5 linked regions of the Macaca mulatta genome follow. The protein of the gene in region 1 purifies or fractionates together with the protein of each later gene. This does not show direct contact. Links are inferred from orthologs where the notes say so. Each region holds a gene or a part of one and is shown in the gene's direction. Other genes may lie near its edges.

The links.
Region 2: the proteins of CEBPB (region 1) and ATF3 purify together in Homo sapiens (affinity purification with western blotting; 3 studies listed by BioGRID and IntAct, with this or other methods). This does not show direct contact. The link is inferred for Macaca mulatta from reciprocal best matches to the Homo sapiens genes CEBPB and ATF3.
Region 3: the proteins of CEBPB (region 1) and ATF2 purify together in Homo sapiens (affinity purification with western blotting; 3 studies listed by BioGRID and IntAct, with this or other methods). This does not show direct contact. The link is inferred for Macaca mulatta from reciprocal best matches to the Homo sapiens genes CEBPB and ATF2.
Region 4: the proteins of CEBPB (region 1) and SMARCC1 purify together in Homo sapiens (affinity purification with western blotting; 3 studies listed by BioGRID, with this or other methods). This does not show direct contact. The link is inferred for Macaca mulatta from reciprocal best matches to the Homo sapiens genes CEBPB and SMARCC1.
Region 5: the proteins of CEBPB (region 1) and SMARCA2 purify together in Homo sapiens (affinity purification with western blotting; 5 studies listed by BioGRID and IntAct, with this or other methods). This does not show direct contact. The link is inferred for Macaca mulatta from reciprocal best matches to the Homo sapiens genes CEBPB and SMARCA2.

The regions. Positions count from the first base shown.
Region 1 is NC_133415.1:103,041,766-103,045,497, forward strand, and holds CEBPB (CCAAT/enhancer-binding protein beta), read left to right. Parts: upstream 1-1,331; 5' UTR 1,332-1,532; coding exon 1,533-2,567; 3' UTR 2,568-3,172; downstream 3,173-3,732. UniProt on the Homo sapiens protein: Important transcription factor regulating the expression of genes involved in immune and inflammatory responses. Also plays a significant role in adipogenesis, as well as in the gluconeogenic pathway, liver regeneration, and hematopoiesis.
Region 2 is NC_133406.1:70,339,889-70,344,121, forward strand, and holds the start of ATF3 (cyclic AMP-dependent transcription factor ATF-3), read left to right. Parts: upstream 1-1,386; 5' UTR 1,387-1,459; intron 1,460-4,233.
Region 3 is NC_133417.1:80,095,181-80,099,633, reverse strand, and holds the start of ATF2 (cyclic AMP-dependent transcription factor ATF-2), read left to right. Parts: upstream 1-1,591; 5' UTR 1,592-1,745; intron 1,746-2,085; exon of another isoform or gene 2,086-2,161; intron 2,162-4,453. UniProt on the Homo sapiens protein: Transcriptional activator which regulates the transcription of various genes, including those involved in anti-apoptosis, cell growth, and DNA damage response.
Region 4 is NC_133407.1:111,044,936-111,048,661, reverse strand, and holds part of SMARCC1 (SWI/SNF complex subunit SMARCC1), read left to right. Parts: intron 1-713; coding exon 714-827; intron 828-2,234; coding exon 2,235-2,388; intron 2,389-3,421; coding exon 3,422-3,535; intron 3,536-3,726. UniProt on the Homo sapiens protein: Involved in transcriptional activation and repression of select genes by chromatin remodeling (alteration of DNA-nucleosome topology).
Region 5 is NC_133420.1:97,412,887-97,416,612, reverse strand, and holds part of SMARCA2 (SWI/SNF-related matrix-associated actin-dependent regulator of chromatin subfamily A member 2), read left to right. Parts: intron 1-2,121; coding exon 2,122-2,248; intron 2,249-3,726. UniProt on the Homo sapiens protein: ATPase involved in transcriptional activation and repression of select genes by chromatin remodeling (alteration of DNA-nucleosome topology).

The DNA.
Region 1 (3,732 bases):
GCGGGCCGGTAGTTAGAGGGCCTTGGGTCTGTGTTCAAGTCCAGGCAGGCCGTTGTCACTTTCCCATCTGTGAAACGGCAGCAGCAAAAGCATCTTCCTGGTGGGGTGAAAAAGAACCTCGGGGTCCAGGCCCACCCTGAGCACAGGGCAGGGACTTGGTAAAAACTTCTCTTTCTCTTTCCTTCTCTGTTTCCTGCATGCCACCCCCCTCCCGTGAGGCCTGGCTTAAGCCCCTCCCCAGCAGCTTCAGAAACAGAAGCTTTTTGGCCTCTGGGGCTGGCAATAGGTCTTAGGGCCCAGATGAGGGCATTTCGTTTGGGATGAATGGGGGACATGCGGCCATGTGACCTTGGTATGCCATGCCATGCTCCCTCTGGGCCTCCACTGGCACAATCCATGGGGGTCCCTTTCTCTCTGATGTGCAGCCCACAACGTAAGCCTTAGGTTTGGGAGTCTGGTGGGAGCAATGCCACCACCGCTGACAGTAGCGACACCCTTCATGGACTGCAGCTGGGAGAAGTGACTCATCCAAGGTCGCACAGTGTGGCAGGGCCCAGGTCGGATGGCGCGGCGCGGGGCAAGAGAAGACCCGGGTGTGTACAAGCCGCAAGCAGGCGGCAGGTGCGGTGGGCGGGGCTAGGGGCGGGACACCGTGGACCAGGGTCCAGCCCCCAGCGCAGCGCGATCCTGCTCCGTCCCCCCGACCCCCGGGGTCCTCATATTGGCGGTGGCTTAAGAGGGGAATCGTCACAGGCGTGGAGTCTACTCCTTTCTAGAGCCGGGGACCTGTGGAAGAGGTGGGAGTTTAGGGGGAAGGGCTACGGAGATGGGTCGCTTCTCCTGGAGCTAGAGTTGCGGGCTGGGGTCTCCAGGGTTCCGCCCGGGGAGCGGCCCCTGGTCCGCCGTCGGGGCTCTGCTCGGTCCTCCTGAAACCTCCGCCTCCTCCAGCAGGGGGCGGGCCGGGGCCGCATCTCCGGGGGAAGGCGATCAGGTCGCCCCCTCCTCCGATTCCCCCGCCTTCCAGGACAGCCTCCAGCCCAGAGGGGCGGTCTGGGGGCGGGGTCGCACCGCCCCCTCTCGCTCCCAATCCCGGGGCGGCCGGGCGGGGGTGGGCAGGGGGCGTGAGGCCGCCCCCTGCGGCCCGGGGACCCCCCCCGAAAACGCGCTCCGGGTGCCCGGTCCCTCCGCTGCGCCCTGCCGCCGTCCTCCTGGGGGTCTCGGGCGGCCGCGGCCGTGTCCTTCGCGTCCCGGCGGCGCGGCGGGAGGGGCCGGTGTGACGCAGCGGTTGCTACGGGCCGCCCTTATAAATAACCGGGCTCAGGAGAAACTTTAGCGAGTCAGAGCCGCGCACGGGACTGGGAAGGGGACCCACCCGAGGGTTCAGCCACCAGCCCCCGCACTAATAGCGGCCACCCCGGCAGCGGCGGCAGCAGCAGCGACGCAGCGGCGACAGCTCAGAGCAGGGAGGCCGCGCCACCTGCGGGCCGGCCGGAGCGGGCAGCCCCAGGCCCCCTCCCCGGGCACCCGCGTTCATGCAACGCCTGGTGGCCTGGGACCCAGCATGTCTCCCCCTGCCGCCGCCGCCTGCCTTTAAATCCATGGAAGTGGCCAACTTCTACTACGAGGCGGACTGCTTGGCTGCTGCGTACGGCGGCAAGGCGGCCCCCGCGGCGCCCCCCGCGGCCAGACCCGGGCCGCGCCCCCCAGCCGGCGAGCTGGGCAGCATCGGCGACCACGAGCGCGCCATCGACTTCAGCCCGTACCTGGAGCCGCTGGGCGCGCCGCAGGCCCCGGCGCCCGCCACGGCCACGGACACCTTCGAGGCGGCTCCGCCCGCGCCCGCCCCCGCGCCCGCCTCCTCCGGGCAGCACCACGACTTCCTCTCCGACCTCTTCTCCGACGACTACGGGGGCAAGAACTGCAAGAAGCCGGCCGAGTACGGCTACGTGAGCCTGGGGCGCCTGGGGGCCGCCAAGGGCGCGCTGCACCCCGGCTGCTTCGCGCCCCTGCACCCGCCACCCCCGCCGCCGCCGCCGCCCGCCGAGCTCAAGGCGGAGCCGGGCTTCGAGCCCGCGGACTGCAAGCGGAAGGAGGAGGCCGGGGCGCCGGGCGGCGGCGCAGGCATGGCGGCGGGCTTCCCGTACGCGCTGCGCGCTTACCTCGGCTACCAGGCGGTGCCGAGCGGCAGCAGCGGGAGCCTCTCCACGTCCTCGTCGTCCAGCCCGCCCGGCACGCCGAGCCCCGCCGACGCCAAGGCGCCCCCGGCCGCCTGCTACGCGGGGGCCGCGCCGCCGCCCTCGCAGGTCAAGAGCAAGGCCAAGAAGACAGTGGACAAGCACAGCGACGAGTACAAGATCCGGCGCGAGCGCAACAACATCGCCGTGCGCAAGAGCCGCGACAAGGCCAAGATGCGCAACCTGGAGACGCAGCACAAGGTCCTGGAGCTCACGGCCGAGAACGAGCGGCTGCAGAAGAAGGTGGAGCAGCTGTCGCGCGAGCTCAGCACCCTGCGGAACTTGTTCAAGCAGCTGCCCGAGCCCCTGCTCGCCTCCTCCGGCCACTGCTAGCGCGGCCCCCGCGCGCGTCCCCCTGCCGGCCGGGGCCGAGACTCCGGGAAGCGCCCGCGCCCGCGCCCCCGCCTCCGCCCCCGGCGGCGCCGGCAAAACTTTGGCACTGGGGCACTTGGCAGCGCGGGGAGCCCGTCGGTAATTTTAATATTTTATTATATATATATATCTATATTTTTGTCCAAACCAACCGCACATGCAGATGGGGCGCCCGCCCGTGGTGTTATTTAAAGAAGAAACGTCTATGTGTACAGATGAATGATAAACTCTCTGCCTCTCCCTCTGCCCCTCTCCAGGCGCCGGCGGGCGGGCCGGTTTCGAAGTTGATGCAATCGGTTTAAACATGGCTGAACGCGTGTGTACACGGGACTGACGCAACCCACGTGTAACTGTCAGCCGGGCCCTGAGTAATCGCTTAAAGATGTTCCTACGGGCTTGTTGCTGTTGATGTTTTGTTTTGTTTTGTTTTTTGGTCTTTTTTTTTGTATTATAAAAAATAATCTATTTCTATGAGAAAAGAGGCGTCTGTATATTTTGGGAATCTTCCGTTTCAAGCATTAAGTAAGAACACTTTTAATAAACTTTTTTTTGAGAATGGTTACAAAGCCTTTTGGGGGCAGTAATTGGCTTTTGTTTTTTTTTGCTTTATTTTGGATTTGTAGGATTTTGTTTTTGCGTTTCTGGTGTGTAGTGGGTTGTGTGTGGGGGGCTGCTGTTATTTTTGGAGGTTTTGGTGGTTGGTGGGGGTGTTGCAGCTGGTTTTTCTGCCTCCTCTGCTACACCCTCCCCCCACCCACAGGGTCTGCTTGGAGATGGGGTTCCAGCCCTGGGGGAAAGGGGAGAAGAGTAATGGGTCAGGCTTTCAGGCTAACTCAGAGCTCCTGGGCGCCGGGACCGGTGGCTGGGAACCCTGCTTGAGAAGAGATTCCGGGACCTCTGACTGGTCCCGAGTGTCAGGCTTGGGTTTGGAAGGGCTGGGAGGTCTGTGACCCCTGCCCTGTGTTTGGGGACTAGATAGGCAGGCCTGTGACTGTAGGAGGAGGGGTTCAGGTCTTGGTCCTGCTGAGCCCGAGTCAGGGCAGATGCTTTTAGTAAGTGTAGTTGGGTGGGTTGTTTAAAACACAGTTTGTGTATACATGTGCATTTTAAAGAGGGGATCCTGGGT
Region 2 (4,233 bases), on another chromosome or scaffold:
AGGTTTAAACCCAGTTCTGCTGAGGTCTCAGCTCGAATCTCGGCTACGGGGCCCCGCCTTTCCCGCCACCCTGGCTTGAGGGCAGAGGGGATTTCTGCTGCGGGTTCCGCCTGTGGTCAGTGCGTCCCCATTCCGGGCCGTCTGGTCCCAGTCCAGTAGGCTCTGGGAGCAGAAGAACCCGTGAAAGCTGAAGATGGGTTTTCCCTAAATATCGCCTGAGAGCGGGGCGACCCCCAGGCCTGGGCAGGTTCGCGGACCCCAAAGCACCTTCTCTTTCCCCCTAGTCCTGGCCACTGGCTTCCGCCCCCTCCTACGCTCCCACCGGGCTGCCTCTGATTCCTCCGGGACTCCGATCTTTTCACGCTCTTGTTGGTTTCACTGAGACGTTCTTGTCAATTTCAAACGCTTTGTGATTGAAAAAAAAGAAGAAAAATCGAACCGATACGGTCCTACCACTCGCCCTAGTCTCGGAGCCCGGAGCTGTCCTGCGTGTGCGTCTATGTGGAGGGTCCGGGGCCGTGGGCTCCGGCGCACGGTGCCAGCAGAGGGCTGCCCTCCGCTTTTGTGTTAACGGGCGGGCTTCTCGCGGTCCCCGCCGCGGAGGTCACACCCGGCGGGTAATGGCGTGGATACACCGAAGAGTGACTTTGGACACCTTCCCCACATCACAGACTAACGCTTCTGCCCCTATTCTGTCCCTGCTAGAGAAGTAGGAGGCCAGTGGGGGAGGGGGTATTTTCCTGAAGCTCCAGAAAATGACCACGCATTTTAGAGAAAGGTCGTGCCCGCTTCCCAGCCTCACCTAGTCTGGGCTGGGGCCGGGACCCGCCTCCCCACCTTCCCCGCCCCCCCGCTCCTCAACCTAGCGGAGGGAGAGATGCCAGCGCGGTGGAGTCATGCCGCTGGCTTGGGCACCATTGGTCATGCCTGGAACACGCAGCAGCGAGTACGCACATCTGGCGGCTATCCCAGGCGACTCCGGTCCTGATATGGAGAGAGAGGGCGGGCTGGTGTGTGTCTCAGTAAGCGAGGCTGGGGGAACGCGCCTCGGCTGGCTCCTCCCCGAACTTGCATCACCAGTGCCCCCCCATCTCCACCCGCCTTCCGCCCCGCCTTGGCCCCTCCCCCACCCCCTTCCTCCGCTCCGTTCGGCCGGTTCTCCCGGGAAGCTATTAATAGCATTACGTCAGCCCGGGACTGGCAACACGGAGTAAACGACCGCGCCGCCCGCCTGAGGGCTATAAAAGGGGTGATGCAACGCTCTCCAAGCCACAGTCGCACGCAGCCAGGCGCGCACTGCACAGCTCTCTTCTCTCGCCGCCGCCCGAGCGCACCCTTCAGCCCGCGCGCCGGCCGTGAGTCCTTGGTGCTCGCCCGCCGGCCAGACAAACAGCCCGCCCGACCCGGTCCCGACCCTGCCCGTCCTCCGGACCCTGGCCGCCCCGAGCGGAGCCTGGAGGTGAGCGCTGGAAGCCAAGGGAGTGAGCGCGACGAGGGCGGCTTGCCTTCATTCCCTTCGCGCCCCTCTAAGTAACCAGTCCGCCGACCCCTGACCCACCCCAGATCCGCGCCCCCAGTCTCCGGCTTGGAAATAACTCTGGCTTTAACTTCTTCTAAGCCACCGCTGCTCCTCGGCGCTTTGAAAAGTTTCCCGCAAAGCGAAAGAACTAACTTTCTCTTTTGACTTGGGGCGCGAAAGGTTCCTGGTGACGGAGGTCTGGCGTCCACTCTGCCGCCAGCCTGGAGCGCCGCTTCTCTCCGCAGACGGCGCTGGCTTGCGGGGCTGGGAGAGGGCGTGAGGTGGGTGGGCGGGTGCGCTGGGGTGTCCGAGGCTGCCCAGCTCGCCGTCCCGCTGCATCCCTCGCTTCGAGACACGGCACTGAGGGAGCCGATCCTTCCCGGGGTTGGCAGAGAGGCACGAAGGCGGGAGGCTTGCGGGAGGGCTGCCCCACGCGCGGAGAGGAATGAATGGGGAAGGGGCAGGAGGGCGGGCGGCGTCGCGTGCGCGGCCGCTGGGGGTCGCCCTGGGCACCCCGGAGCGCTGGCGGCAGGACCGTGAAGGCAACCCCGAGAAAAAGTTAGCTGGGATAAGTTTGGAAGTGGAGAGCGCTGGTGTCGCGCTGTCCCGGGGCGGACGACGGGAAGGGCTCCCGGCACCGGTTGGTGTCTGGAACCCGAGCCCGGGACTCCCACACACCTGGGACTCTCACTCTGGCTTTTCCTTCGGCCGGTCCGCGGGAGACCCACCGTGGCGGGGAAGCGAGGGTGTGGAGCCAGTTGTGCAGATATTTGAGAGAATGGCTTTGTGGTCTAGTGCCAGGACTCTGAGCGCTTACACTGCAATCGATGTCGTTGAGCCTCAGTATGCCGAGCCGGGAAATAGGGGCACATGGGCAGTACCGGCCCCCTCTGCGTGTTGGAGGGCACAATGCAGTGGTTGGACCAGATAACTGCTAAGGTCCTTTCTGTCTGGAGATTTTCAGATTCTAGGGTGGTGTAGTGGGAAGAAAAGGAGCCAGTGAGGGGACTTGAATGCTGTGGGTCTCTATCTAATGTCATTGACCGGTGTCCAGACAGTGGGGGAAAGGGGACTTTTCTGCAGGGCATCTTTTCCCTCACCAGTTTTCTTTCCACTGGATTCCTTCTCCTTCTGTGCTCCTCCTATCCCCATTTTTGTCTCTCATCTACTTCCTTTCCTCCTAAACATTTTCTTTTACCTAATTTCATTGCAGAGGTCACATATGCTTTCTTACAAATAAAATAGTTACTAAATCCTTGATGAAGCCAGAAAAAAAAAAAAAAAAAAGGAGAGCCAGAAAATCTGGATGTTCTCTCAATGTACCCCTTTCGTTGTAGGTGACAGTCACATCTTCTGTTCGAAGTTTCTGTCTCCACAATTTAAAGTGAAGGCAAAAAATTGGTATTACTGTCCCCGTTGTTTTGCAGTTAGCATTGGTTGTAGAATAATGCTACAACATACAGGCTCCTGCTTTGAGGATATCCTGGTCAAAGATGGGATGTGGTGAGGATTGCAGTTACTGTCAGAATTGTTTCAGAGACAGCAAAGAAGGCAGCACCCCACGCCCGCAGTGGGGCTAAGATACAGCACCCAGCATCTGTGGCAGTGCTGGGAGCCTTCTTTCTCTCTCTCTTCCTCCTTGCCCTTTAGCCATTATAGAATTCCTTTCTCTCCATGGCTCTTTTCTTCGATAGCCCCTCCCTATCTCAGTCCTGTCAAAGTCTCCTCTGTGGTTGGTACCAAGTGCCAGGACTCTTGACCCCTTATCTACCTGGCTAATGGCTCTGTTCTCTGGTTGCCTTGTTGGTTGATCCCTTGAGGTGGTGATACCTATTGGTGATGGAGCAAAATGAGCAGTTGGTGGGTGGTCAGCAGCTTGGCATGGGATGGGCCACTCACCAGCTTTATGACCTCAGGCAAGTCATTTTTACCTCCCTGGACCAGTGTACTCATTACAAAATGAAAATCTGACCTAGATGATTCTAATATTGAGAGGGTGTGATTTCCATTAGATAGAGTCCATGATTCCTTTCTTTTTAAAATTGGCTGGGCATGGGACAAGGCCAGTGGCTTCAAGTGTTACCCAGCCAGGGGAGGAGGAAGGACATAGTCAAGATGCCACAGAAGCTTTCCAAGGGAGAAATGGTTTTTAAGTGAGAATTGGTTTTCTTTCAAATATGTAATGGAGAAATGCTGGTGTCAGCAAATAGTGGGGTGACATCTACCTGGTCTGCGAAGAACTTGGGGTCAATCAGAGTACAAAAGAGGCTCTGAATGACCTGAATTTCTTGAAGGTTTTAGTTAATTCCTCACTAACAGGGCTTTGTTGAATTGATAACAACAGAATGAGTTTTTCCTGAAATGGAGAAGATGGAGTCACAGTAATAATGACTACCCAGTGTATATGTAAATCTCATATATCCTTCTTAACAGCCCTTTGGGGCAGGCAGTTTTGATCTCAAATTACAGAGGAAGAGAATGAGAGGCCCAGAAAGCCTAAGTGATTTGTTGGTGAGTGCTTAGTTTGTGATTGGCGCTGATAGGTTCAGAAACATTGTCTCTGGCCCTTGATGCCCAGCTTTGCACCTACAATCTTCAAGAGGTCTGGGAGGAAGACCAAGATATGAAGAGTTAGTGAAAGGCCAGTATTGGCTTCCTAGTAACATAAGATGGTTAGCGAGCAATGCTTAGTGGAAAGAGGATGAAAATTAAAA
Region 3 (4,453 bases), on another chromosome or scaffold:
TTCTCTTTAGAAAATTAGCTGAAACTGAATTATCAAAACAGATCAGAGTACTGTTCATATCACTAGTTCTTCTCTTGTCTAAAAAGAACTGAAAGACTTTCTTCAAAATGTGTTCCTCGAATGCATCATGTAGATAATTTAACTGCTTGACAACAGACCAGAGAAGTAGAAATGAGAAATTTAAAACCAAAGCTACTGCCCAATTGAATACTGAAAAAAATAATTTCAAATTTTAATACACATGAATGGAAAAATAATTTTTTAAAAAATCTATTCTAATTGACCCAAACTTCTTTTGAAATGTCGTAACATTTCTAATTCTTTTTCTCACATTAGTTGTTTTGGGAGATGGAGAGAGAAGCATCATTTTAATCAATGTTTTCTAGACCTAACAACTGTGATGTCAATCAAACATTTTGTCCACCATTTCCATCATGAGTAATCTGAACTGTGAGGTTTTGCTGACATAGTTAGTGTTACACTACAATGACACTACTACAACATTACTGTTACTATATGGGGACAACACTTTCATTTTAAGTAGGAAAGTGTTAATAATTTGGCTTAATGTTTTTTAACTAAAATTAGTTTTAAAAGAGGACTGAGTTGGCTTATATACATGTATGCAGTCCAGAGACCTACCTGTGAAAATGTCAATGCCATTACAATTTCACTTTATGCCAGATATCATTCTTGAACTTCAGGCTCATTATCTCTTATAATATCCCCTAAAACCTTTCAACAACTTTGAGAGTGTATTTTATGTTAATATATAAACTAGTTCATAATTTTGTTACAGACTAGAAATCAGTATTTAATAAATGGAAAAATAAAAGACTGAAAATCTTTTATTGAGTAAATTTTCAGAGGCCTCTGATCATACTTTTCAACTTGTGCCTATTTATTGAATAACCAACATCCCTACAGTTAATATTAAAATCTTTAAGTTGTGTGAGGTTTATTGGAGGGTAGGGATGGGGAATTACCAGCAAACTCTGCCTCCCGCAAACCTCACCTAACCCGAAGCTCCCCGTCTCAGACTCCCGGGGAGCCAGGGGTAGGCTGAGGAACGCAGCCTACCTTTACCCACCTCCCTACCTAGTGCTGGGAAGCGACGGCAACGGAGACACCCGGCTCCTGGGGCTGGGCTCGGAGGACCCATCCTGCTTCCCCCTACCAGCCTTTCTGGAGCTCACCATCCTCGCTTCACACCGCCAACACCCTGCCTACCCCTCCTCCGCCGCCTGCACCCGCCCCCTCCTCCAGCCGACAGCCAATCACAGCCTTCCACAGCCTTGGGTTTACAGAGGTAACGCTCCTTGGGCCCTCTGGTCCCGCCCCCTCCAGAACTGCTTCCCGCCCTTCGGGCTCCTTGCCCAATCACGAGCGCCCGAGTGCTCTTTGGTGCCCGTCCCCTCTACCCGCCCTGCCGAAGACCCGCCTTCTTCTCCTTAAGCCTGACGGAATCACCTGACTCGGAGGCTCTCCCTCAGAAGGAAGGCAAGACGGGGCGTGAGCATGGAGGGGAGGGGCGCGAGAAGGAAGGGGGGGATGCCGGGAGCGGGGCGGGTCGGGGGGGGGGAGGAGGGTTGTCAGTCCGATCTCGCGAGAGAGGACGGAAGCCTGTGGGAGCCCGTGGCCTTTAAAGTGCCGTTCAGCCTTTTCGTCCAGGGGTGGTTTGTAAACACGGCTGTGCTCGGGGCTCACGAGTGACCGAAAGGATCATGAACTAGTGACCTGGAAAGGTGAGTAATGATGGGCAGAGGTCAGCAGGGCTGGAGACTGTAGGGATACGGAGAAAGAAGGTGCTAACATGGCGACGTCGCTCAGCACAGTCCCCACCCCCCGTTTCCCATCACCTCGGGTGCTCCTGACGTGCTTCTTAGCCCTTGGGGCGATTGTGGCTGTGATGCCACCTTAGCGGCCCGCGCGGTGTGGGCTTTGGGAGACTGACTGGCTGGGCCGGACCGTTAGGTAACCAGCGTTCGTTGTTCCGGCCCCTCCCTCTCGCGCGCTTTCCTAAGGCAGAGGAAAAAGGAATAACGGCTCCTCTTAGACCCCTCCCTCCGATTTATCTTCCCCCTGCTTGGGTCAGTTCAGAGGTCCTCGGGGCGCGCGTCGAGTCAGCCGTGTGCGCAGGGAGACCTCTCCCACCCACAGTCCTTGGGTTGGGCGGGGAGAGGGCCCACTCTAGTCTCCCCACCCAGTGTTCAAGCGATTGAGGACCGTGTATTTGTGATGGTGGCGGGGAGGAGGATCGGGAGGCGCGGCTGAAAATAGAATCAGGGTCCCTGGCTGCGGTGCAGCCTGAAGGAAAGAATGGTGTGGAGAACCTGGGAGCTGCAAGTCTCGGCCTTTTCCGTCCTTTCCGCCACCCTCACAGTCCCGCTACCCCCCACTTTTTCCCGGTGGGGCGGGGCTTAGGTGTGGGTGCAGAGTGATTCTGGTATTTTCCCCTATTTTTTTTTAATCTCTTTGGGTGGACAGCAGACCTTATGTAAAGAAATAATTTGCTTTTCATCATGCCCTAGGAACCAGGGCCGAAAGGGAGTGTGTGTACGTGTTTTCCATGTTCGCTCGTTTAACCGAACCTAGGAGGAAAAAGAGAGGAGGAGCTGGGGACTATTTTTGTGCCCCTAGGTAGTATAAAATTGGCTTTCCTTAATGGAGAGTCTTAAAACTGGTGAGGCCAAGAGCAAAACTACTGTGAATATCATGTAGTAAAAGAGATTATTCCTGATGGACCTCAGGCATCAGAAATTTTACTGAAAGAAATGTTTCTCTTAAAATTCAACACCTATTTTAAGTAGTGATGTAAAGCATTTCTTTACATGTACCTTCAGGTTTTCTAATGCTTTCCTGGCTATTATTTAACTGGTACTAAGGGATTGACTAATCCCTGAATTATAATGTGAAAGTTTAAATTTCTTAGAGGTTTTAAATTATGGAGACGTCACAATGCATGCATTTACGATATACATTTAAAATCAGAACAAAAACTGACTTCCTTTGAGCACACTTTTTGTCCTATTTGAAGAAACATGACCACTGGCGTTATCATTGTCAGTAACAGCCGTTCTAATCTTTATATAGCCATATAGCTTTGGTCTCATGAATCAAAATTATGAAGGTAAAGCTTTATAAAAGCTTTTTAAAAAGTAACACCTACAGGTTTAAGTGCCCTGAAGTGCAAACACAGAAACAGTTTTATCATGTATTCATTTTTTTTCTTACTCGAGGAATCCACCGTAAAAACTTTGTTTCAAAATGATAGGAACATCCTTGTAAAATACGTTTTAAAAATAGATATCCTCTGAAGATTAAGAAAGTTCATGGATCTTTAAGGCCGTCAGTAGTTGCGTAATAGTTAAGAATCCTCGTCTTTGTAAAATAATTTCTAGGAATCTTCCAGATTTACCGTGATGTGTAAAAGAATTTCTGAGAATCTTCCAAATTTGCCGTGATGTGTATGTTGCCTTTCCAAGACGTTTAATCTTGCTTTGAGAGAATGCTACTGCCATTAAGTTTTAAGAAATGATTTAAAATGTAATATCGTGGAAATTTAGAACTTAGATGTTATGTATTTTAATTGTCAGTAAGGAAGGAGCTTTCAGGGACCTTTTGTGTGTGTGTGTAGGGTATATAATACCTTCTGTAGCTCCGGGTGCATTTCCTGAAAATCCTTTTTAAAATACCTTATCCGAATGTTTATTTCGTATTTGGGGCACTATATTATTATTAGTTAAATATGTAACCCAGGAATTCCTGCACTTTTTTCTTTGGCGTTGTTTTTTATTTTTAAGCTTAGATAATAGAGGCTGGGCGCGCGCGGTGGCTCATTCCTGTAATCCCAGCACTTTGGGAGGCCGAGGCGGGGGGATCACGAGGTGAGGAGACCTTCCTAGCTAACACTGTGAAACCCCGTCTCTACTAAAAGTGCATAAAACTAGCCGGGCGTGGTGGCGCCTGTAGTCCCAGCTACTCAGGAGGCTGAGGCGGGAGAATCCCTTGAACCCGGGAGGCGGAGGTTGCAGTGAGCCGAGATCACTCCACTGCACTCCAGCCTGGGTGACAGCGAGATTCCGTCTCAAATAAATAAATAGTAGAAATGGTTGTCAGCATTTTAACAAATAATGGGGGTGGAGGTACTCTTTATTGGTATTCAGGATCTGAAAGCTCTGTGAGTATGGTTGAAAAATATTCCATACATCAAACATCTATCTATAGGTAGCGTTAACTCTTCAAAGAATAATGTACATTTTTTCTACCCAACTTTTTGTATTTTGGAAAACTTGGGTTTTAATGATACATACATTCTTGTCTGGTAAATTGTTAGATCATGTTAGATCAGGTAAACAGTCTCACCAATGTGTGCTGTTTCTACTTATTTTGTCTTCAAGCTCTTCCTTCCAATATGAAATATGTCTATAGGTAGGCATTTCTTTATCGTTTT
Region 4 (3,726 bases), on another chromosome or scaffold:
TCTCCATTTTCGTATGTTCTTTTCTGGATTTGGTCTCATGGATTCTACTTGTTGCCCAGCCATGATCTCCCTTAAAGAACTGCCACGAGAAGTTACATAGCTATTTTCAGAGCCAAATCCACGTGCCACATTTGAAATACAGAAGTGATAGGCAACAGAGGTTGAGAGCATAGATTGAAGAGCCACCACACTGGGTGCGATGAATTCTGGCTCCATCAATTACCAACCCTGTGGCTAGGACAAATTCTCTAACAACTCAGTGTTTGTTTCCTCACCCATAGATGGGATGATAGCAGACCCTACCTGCAATATGGAGCGATTATGAGGATTCAGTTGTCAGACATACATTGCTTATAACAGTGCCCTGCACACAGTAAAGTATAGATATGTGGTAGTGAGGCAGATAGCCTATGTAACCATGTGTTAGTTTCAAATTCTGCAGTTAACTACCACCATGACCAAGTTTGAATTTATGTTACTTCACATGAATGTCGTTACATTACTTGTTATTATACATTAGTAAACAGTTGTTTTGCATATTTGTGGTTCTAAATTCACTCATAACTTAATATGCAATATAATATCACCGTTTTTTTATGCTCTTGTCTTAATTTATTGTATTTCTAAGGAATCTGAAGATTTTTGAGTTTCTGAGTAACATTGTTTCTGAAAGGATACGTGTCCACCTTATGAATTTTGCCATTGCTTTTTAGATACTTGGCATATCGAAATTTTATGATTGACACGTATCGCCTAAACCCCCAAGAGTATTTAACTAGCACTGCTTGTCGGAGGAACTTGACTGGAGATGTGTGTGCTGTGATGAGGTAAAATGTTTGACTTTTTCTGAGACATTTAACTGTAGGAATTTACTTATGCTTTGCTGTCATATTAAACTGGTTGTTTCAACTGGGTAAAACACCTAATTTTAGTTGTGTCATTTAGGGGTGGATTATATTTTGTTTCCTTTCATTTCATTCAATTTATTTTATTTTTATTTTATTTTATTAATTTAATTTTATTGTCGAGATGGGATTTCATAATGTTGCCAAGGCTGGTCTCAATCTCCTGGCCTCAAGCAATTCTCCTGCCTCGGTCTCCTGAAGTATTGTGATTGCAGGCGTGAGCACTGTGTTCAGCATTAGAGGTTGAAAATTTAAAATATTTAATTTAGGCTGGGTGCAGTGGCTTACGCCTATATTCCCAGCACTTGGAGAAGCCAAGGTGGGCGGATCACCTGAGGTCAGGAGTTCGAGCCTGGCCAATATGGTGAAACCCCTTCTCTACTAAAAATATAAAAATTAGCCGAGCGTGGTGGCACATGACTGTAATCTTAGCTATTGGGGAGGCTGAGGCAGGAGAATTCAGGAGGCAGAGATTGCAGTGAGCTGAGATTGTCCCACTGCATTCCAGCCTGGGCGACAGAGCGAGATTGTGTCTCAAAAAAATAAAATAAGTAAGATAAATATTTAATTTAGTTTTCTAGATTTTACAGTTCACATTTTAATTTTTTTAGTCAAATCATAAAATAACCAGGGAAGGAGTAGATTCAGGTTGGGAGTGGATAAACTCTGCGCCCTAGCTCTGCCAAAAAAAAAACAAAAAAAAAACCCGCCAGGTACAGTGGCTCACACCTGTAATCCCAGCACTTTGGGAGGCCGAGGTGGGTGGATCACCAGAGGTCAGGAGTTCGAGACCAGCCTGGCCAACATGGTGAAAGCCTGTTTCTACTAAAAATACCAAACATTAGCTGGGCATGGTGACGGGCACCTGTACTCTCAGCTACTTGGGAGGCTGAGGCAGGAGAATCGCTTGAACCGAGGAGGCTGAGTAGGTTGCAGTGAGCTGAGATTGCACCATTGCACTCCAGCCTGAGAGACAGAGCGAGACTCTGTCAAGAAAAATGTGGATTTTTTCTATGTGTGTATTTGGTCTGTGTGTGGGTTCTTTTATTACCATGGACCTAAATGCGTATTTGTGCTCTCATTTCTGTGATTTAAATGATTAAACTTTGTAATAGGTTTGGGGGGTGCTGTGTTATCAACATTATTTGTGGCTTGTAGAAATTGTTCCCTACATAACAAACAAAATCTGTCAAGTAATTTGTGGTGTTTGATAGCCTGCTGAGCACATTTACTTGTTTTATTGTTTCTGTTTTTTAATGGTGTAATGATGATAATAAAGCACATGAAATTGATTCTTTAGATTTTAACTTTCCGAGCTTTATTCTTTAGGGTCCATGCCTTTTTAGAGCAGTGGGGACTCGTTAATTACCAAGTTGACCCGGAAAGTAGACCTATGGCAATGGGACCTCCTCCTACTCCTCATTTTAATGTATTAGCTGATACTCCCTCTGGGCTTGTGCCTCTGCATCTTCGATCACCTCAGGTAAATTAATGTTGACTTTTCATCAGACCTGAATAGTAACAAATGTCTGTTTATAGCATATCTATTTAGGAATGCTGTTGTTAGTGCTGTTTCTTTGATGCTTGTTTGTATGTGTGTTTTGGTGTACTGTAAATATTACAGTCCAAAAGAATATATAGTGTTTAAGTTAATGCTGTCCCACCAATCCCAAAACCCAATGCCTTAGTCTATCAAATTATTAATTTACTTTTATATGCATAACTCCCTTTATCCTTCTGTCATCAAAAAGACACACATAAGTAAGCAGATGATGCAAAATCTTCTTTCCCTTCCTTCAGTCTGTGTTCTAGAAACGTGAAGCAAAGAAATCTTTATAACTTGTCCTAAGATTTGTAAAGTGGACATCCATATATACATTATCAAACAGATTATGTCAGACAAATTCTGTATAGCATTAAGTTGGATTCACAGGAACCTAAGGTATAAATTTTGTTCCATTGTGAAATAGAATATAGTAATGAAAATTTGTTATCCTTTCTGGACTTAAGGGACACCAAAATGTAACTTGTATGTTGAATTTTTGTTAGAAGTATAGTGTAGAAGTGTGGGTATTTATTGTTTTTCGTAGGAAATCCACCAAGAGTGGCTTAAGTTCCAATATTAACCTTTTTTTTTTTTTTTTTTTTTTTTTTTTTTGGAGACAGAGTCTGTCTCTGCTCCCCAGGCTGGAGTGTAGTGGCATGATCTTGGCTCACTGCAATTTCCGCCTCCGGGTTATAAGCAATTCTACTGCCTCAGTCTCCTGAGTAGCTGGGATTATAGTCACATGCCACAACGCCCAGCTAATTTTTGTATTTTTAGTAGAGATGGGGTTTCACCATTTTGGTCAGGCTGGTCTTGAGCTCCTAACCTTGTGATCCGCCCGCCTCGGCCTCCCGAAGTGCTGGGATTACAGGCATGAGCCACCGCGCCCGGCCTAAACAAATTTTAAAAAACGTTTACCCTCTTGACTTTAAAGAGGCTAACTCAGCCGTTTATCATTTATTTGACTCAGGTTCCTGCTGCTCAACAGATGCTAAATTTTCCTGAGAAAAACAAGGAAAAACCAATTGATTTGCAGAACTTTGGTCTACGTACTGATATTTACTCCAAGAAAACATTAGCAAAGGTAAGGATTTTTTTTCTAATCACATGTAGGCTACAATCCAGCACATCTTAGTCCTTCTAAGATACATCTGATGAGCTTTCTACTCAAATCTGATGGTATTTTTAAAAACAATTATGATTTATCTTACCTTTTATATTCCCATATGACTTAGTAGATAGGTATTTTAAAAATAACACTATTAGAGAAATTCG
Region 5 (3,726 bases), on another chromosome or scaffold:
ACAAAAAATAACAATAGCATGGTAGCAGTGATAATATTAACACATTATGATGACAAATCATTTAATAAATTAGAATGAATAACATGTATCTAGCAAATAAAATAAGAATCAGTCGTAGATATTATTTTTAGTGAAGTCCCTGAAAAATAGTTTTCCTTACCACCATTTTAAAATTTTTAAAAATGATGACATTTTATTTCCCTTCCAAACTAAGCAACTGTAGGTTTTTACAAAAAATCACTCATTTTGATATTTGGCTATATGAAGTATTAGATCTCCTACAGCATTTAGGACCAGGAGGTTTTACTTTTTCATGTTAATGAAAATGATGCCTGTCATCATCAGCATCTTGGCAAGGAAGACAAATGGCCTGGTTGCCTTAGGACAGAACTAGAAGTTAGAAAGAAAAAAAGTCTGTCCTCTCAGCTCTGTAGTCTGGCAACACCATCATGTTTGGAAAACACTGTAATATTCATTTTTTAAGATAATTTCGACTTTTATTTGAGATTCAGGGGATGCATGAATAGGTTTCTTAACATGGGTGTATTGCATAATGCTGAGGTTTGGGGTGCAATGGATCCCATCATTCAGCTAATGAGCATAGTACCTAAAAGTTTTTCAACCCTTGCTGCCCTCCCTCCCTCCCCCGTTTAGTAGTCGCCAGTGTGTATTGTTGCCATCTTTATGTCCATGAATACCCAATGTTTAGCTGCCACTTAAAAGTGAGAACATGCGGTATTTGGTTTTCTGTTCCTGCATTAATTTGCTTAGGATAATGGCCTCCAGCTGCATCCATGTTGCTGCAAAGGACATGATTTGGTTGTTTTTTTTTTTTAATGGCTGTGCATAATTTTAAACAGAATTCTTAATTTTCAACTTTTATAGTTGAGGTCCAGGAAGGTTCTCAGAAAGTATATTTTAATTATCTACCGTTTCATTGCAGTGGTTTTGGTATCAGGCAAATTGAGGTTCCAGTCTTGGCCCCCTTCTTTACTAGCTCTGTGGTATCTCCAGGTGTCTTCAGTTTTCCTCATCAGTAACATGGGACCATTATAACATTTACCTTATAGAGAGAGGCGTGTCTGTGTGTGTAAGAGAGAGACAATTAAATAAAATTATGCATTAAAGGCACTTAGTTCTGTTAATATTAACCTAGTTTAACTTATTACTCATTTTATCATTATTCTTTCTTTGTTGAAATCTAGTTCAGTACAGTTTGCCTCAAATTTAGGGGATGTAGTTCTAAAAACAGGCTTAAATGGCATATAATTATTTGTCAGAATAGGATTCAGGTGAACTCTAAAACCAGCAGTTTATATATCTAACAGTAATAGTATCCCAAGTGAATGGCTAAAGTGAGAGGTCTTTTATTTTCTACTCTGCCTTTATTATGCGGAAGTACATGCAGTTATATTTTTGATGGTGTGTAAAACGAGAATCCTCAACATCCTTTTCTAGAAACTCTTGGTTTTTGAGTACTATTTACTGCTGGCCCTGATTTTTTAAAAACAGCCTCATTTGTATTTTCTTTTCTCAAGCAAGCTCTGCTCACGGAGGAAGTGGCTGTGGCTGGCAGAGCGCTTTCTGAATGTTTAGGGTTGGCTGATTTCTGTGGCATCAGCACCTAAAACCGTTCTTGCTCTCTCCGCTTTAATGGCTGTTCGTCATCGGCATCTTGGCAAAGAAGACAAATGGTCCGGTTGCCTTAGGACAGAACTAGAAGTTAGAAAAAAGTGTGTCCTCTCAGCTCTGCATTCTGTCCGGCTGGGAGTTAGGAAGCGAGTCAATTGTTTCTGTCTCTCATTTCTCTCTCTGCTAAGAGCGAGCAAGGACATTTGACTTCCCCACTAGATACAGGGTGAACCCTCTTTCCCTGGTGTTAGATAGGGGTTATGGAGGAAGCCACATTGTTAAGTTAACATATACCTGTCTGCATTAATACAAAGGTAGCTTTTCTCTGCTTAACATCAAAAATTCTAGTTGGGTGTCAGAAATCAACTATCAGTATCTGGAATATGTTTTGCCCTGAACTTAAACCTGATGTCATTGTTTATCATGTAACATTAAATTGTAATGTGTTTTTCCACTGCCCCCTTTTCCCCGTTTTATTGTTTCCTTCAGACTTCAGGCCCGCATAGCTCATAGGATACAAGAACTGGAAAATCTGCCTGGCTCTTTGCCACCAGATTTACGAACCAAAGCAACCGTGGAACTAAAAGCACTTCGGTTACTCAATTTCCAGCGTCAGGTAATACCTTTTCCCCAGTGAATCTGAGATGTAGGAAATAAATGTAATTGTTCCTAAAGTGTTATCTGTGTTGCCTTTAGTCTATTCGATATTGTTATAAAGATATAAAGAGAGAAACATAGTAAAATAGTGAATCTTTTAGACCAACAGCTTACAACTAAAAATAATGAAGATGAACTGCTTATTATTCTGGTTTTCTCTTCTGTATATGGGAAAGAGTTTTTCCTCCTGTACTATGGTTTACAAAGTCAAGAGTTATGGCATTTTGTTACCATGGATGAAAAACCTTGGGAACAAGTGGGGTAGCTCATGTTTGCCTTTATGACTCCAAGGAAAAACCAGAAGGTAGTAGAGTGGAGCTTCTTCGTAAGCACAGATGTTAAGTGCTAGCCACGACTGTGAAAAGAATTTTAACAAATATGATAGCCACTCTACAGAATTAGTTCATCATTTATAGAAATACATAAAACAGTGTCTTACAGCTTATTTATTCACCAATATCTGAGTTTGGAGTGTTTAATCACATCAGGCTCATACAGTGACTAATCTGTAAATTATCTTGTCATTACAGTAGTTATTAAAAGCCAGTATAATGACCTATTTTCTGATTTCTAAATTAGTAAGAGACTAGTGGAATGAATTAGAGCTACTTTTCACTTTGGTGAGTTTTGCCTTGTGGACTCAGAATGTTCAAGTTTGCTAGTCCACAGATTGCCTCACTAAGCCAAAGGGGAGAAGGAGCCTTTCATTGTTAGTCAGATGGGTTTGTTTTGTTAAAGCCTGGAACATGCAAAATGAATGATTAATGAGTAAAAGTAGTTTGGAAGTATTGACTTGGTCTGTTGGAGGATGCGAGTAAAATCACAGGCCACTCCCCTTGCTATTGTAGGAATTTGGGTGTATATTTGCCTTACTGGCTATAATATCACAGATGGACATTAGTGGTGAGTAGGTGCTACTTGGCCCTTGGTTTGTGAGAGTAGATTTCAGCTTAAATTTTAAAAAGAAGAGGGAAAATTCTCTGAGTTCTGTTTACTTCTTTCTTATTGGTGACCTCACAAGATGAATTAATAAAGTGCTGGATAAAATCTCACTAAATGAATATTAACCAAGTATATTTTCAGGAATAAGTTTATGTTCAAATTAGCATTGCTGTGCTGGATTCTTATTGGTTTCTGATTTTTGTTTGATATTATTTTAAAAATCTGTTATTTATGAAGCTTCCCAATTAAATTAACTGTAACTAATGATGATTTCAGATTCAGTGGAATGATTATTTAATGTGTATTCTCCAGTCCCTACCCCCTACCACCACATAGCATGCAATACAGATAAAAGTATTACATTTGTGATGATCTAAAATAAGTTCATGATATAATACAAAATGTAGCTCTCTTGGAAAGAATATTATTATTGGAGTGGGAAGAAGCCAAAACTCTTATTTCCCATCCTTTGTATGAGACTATGAATTAACGTTG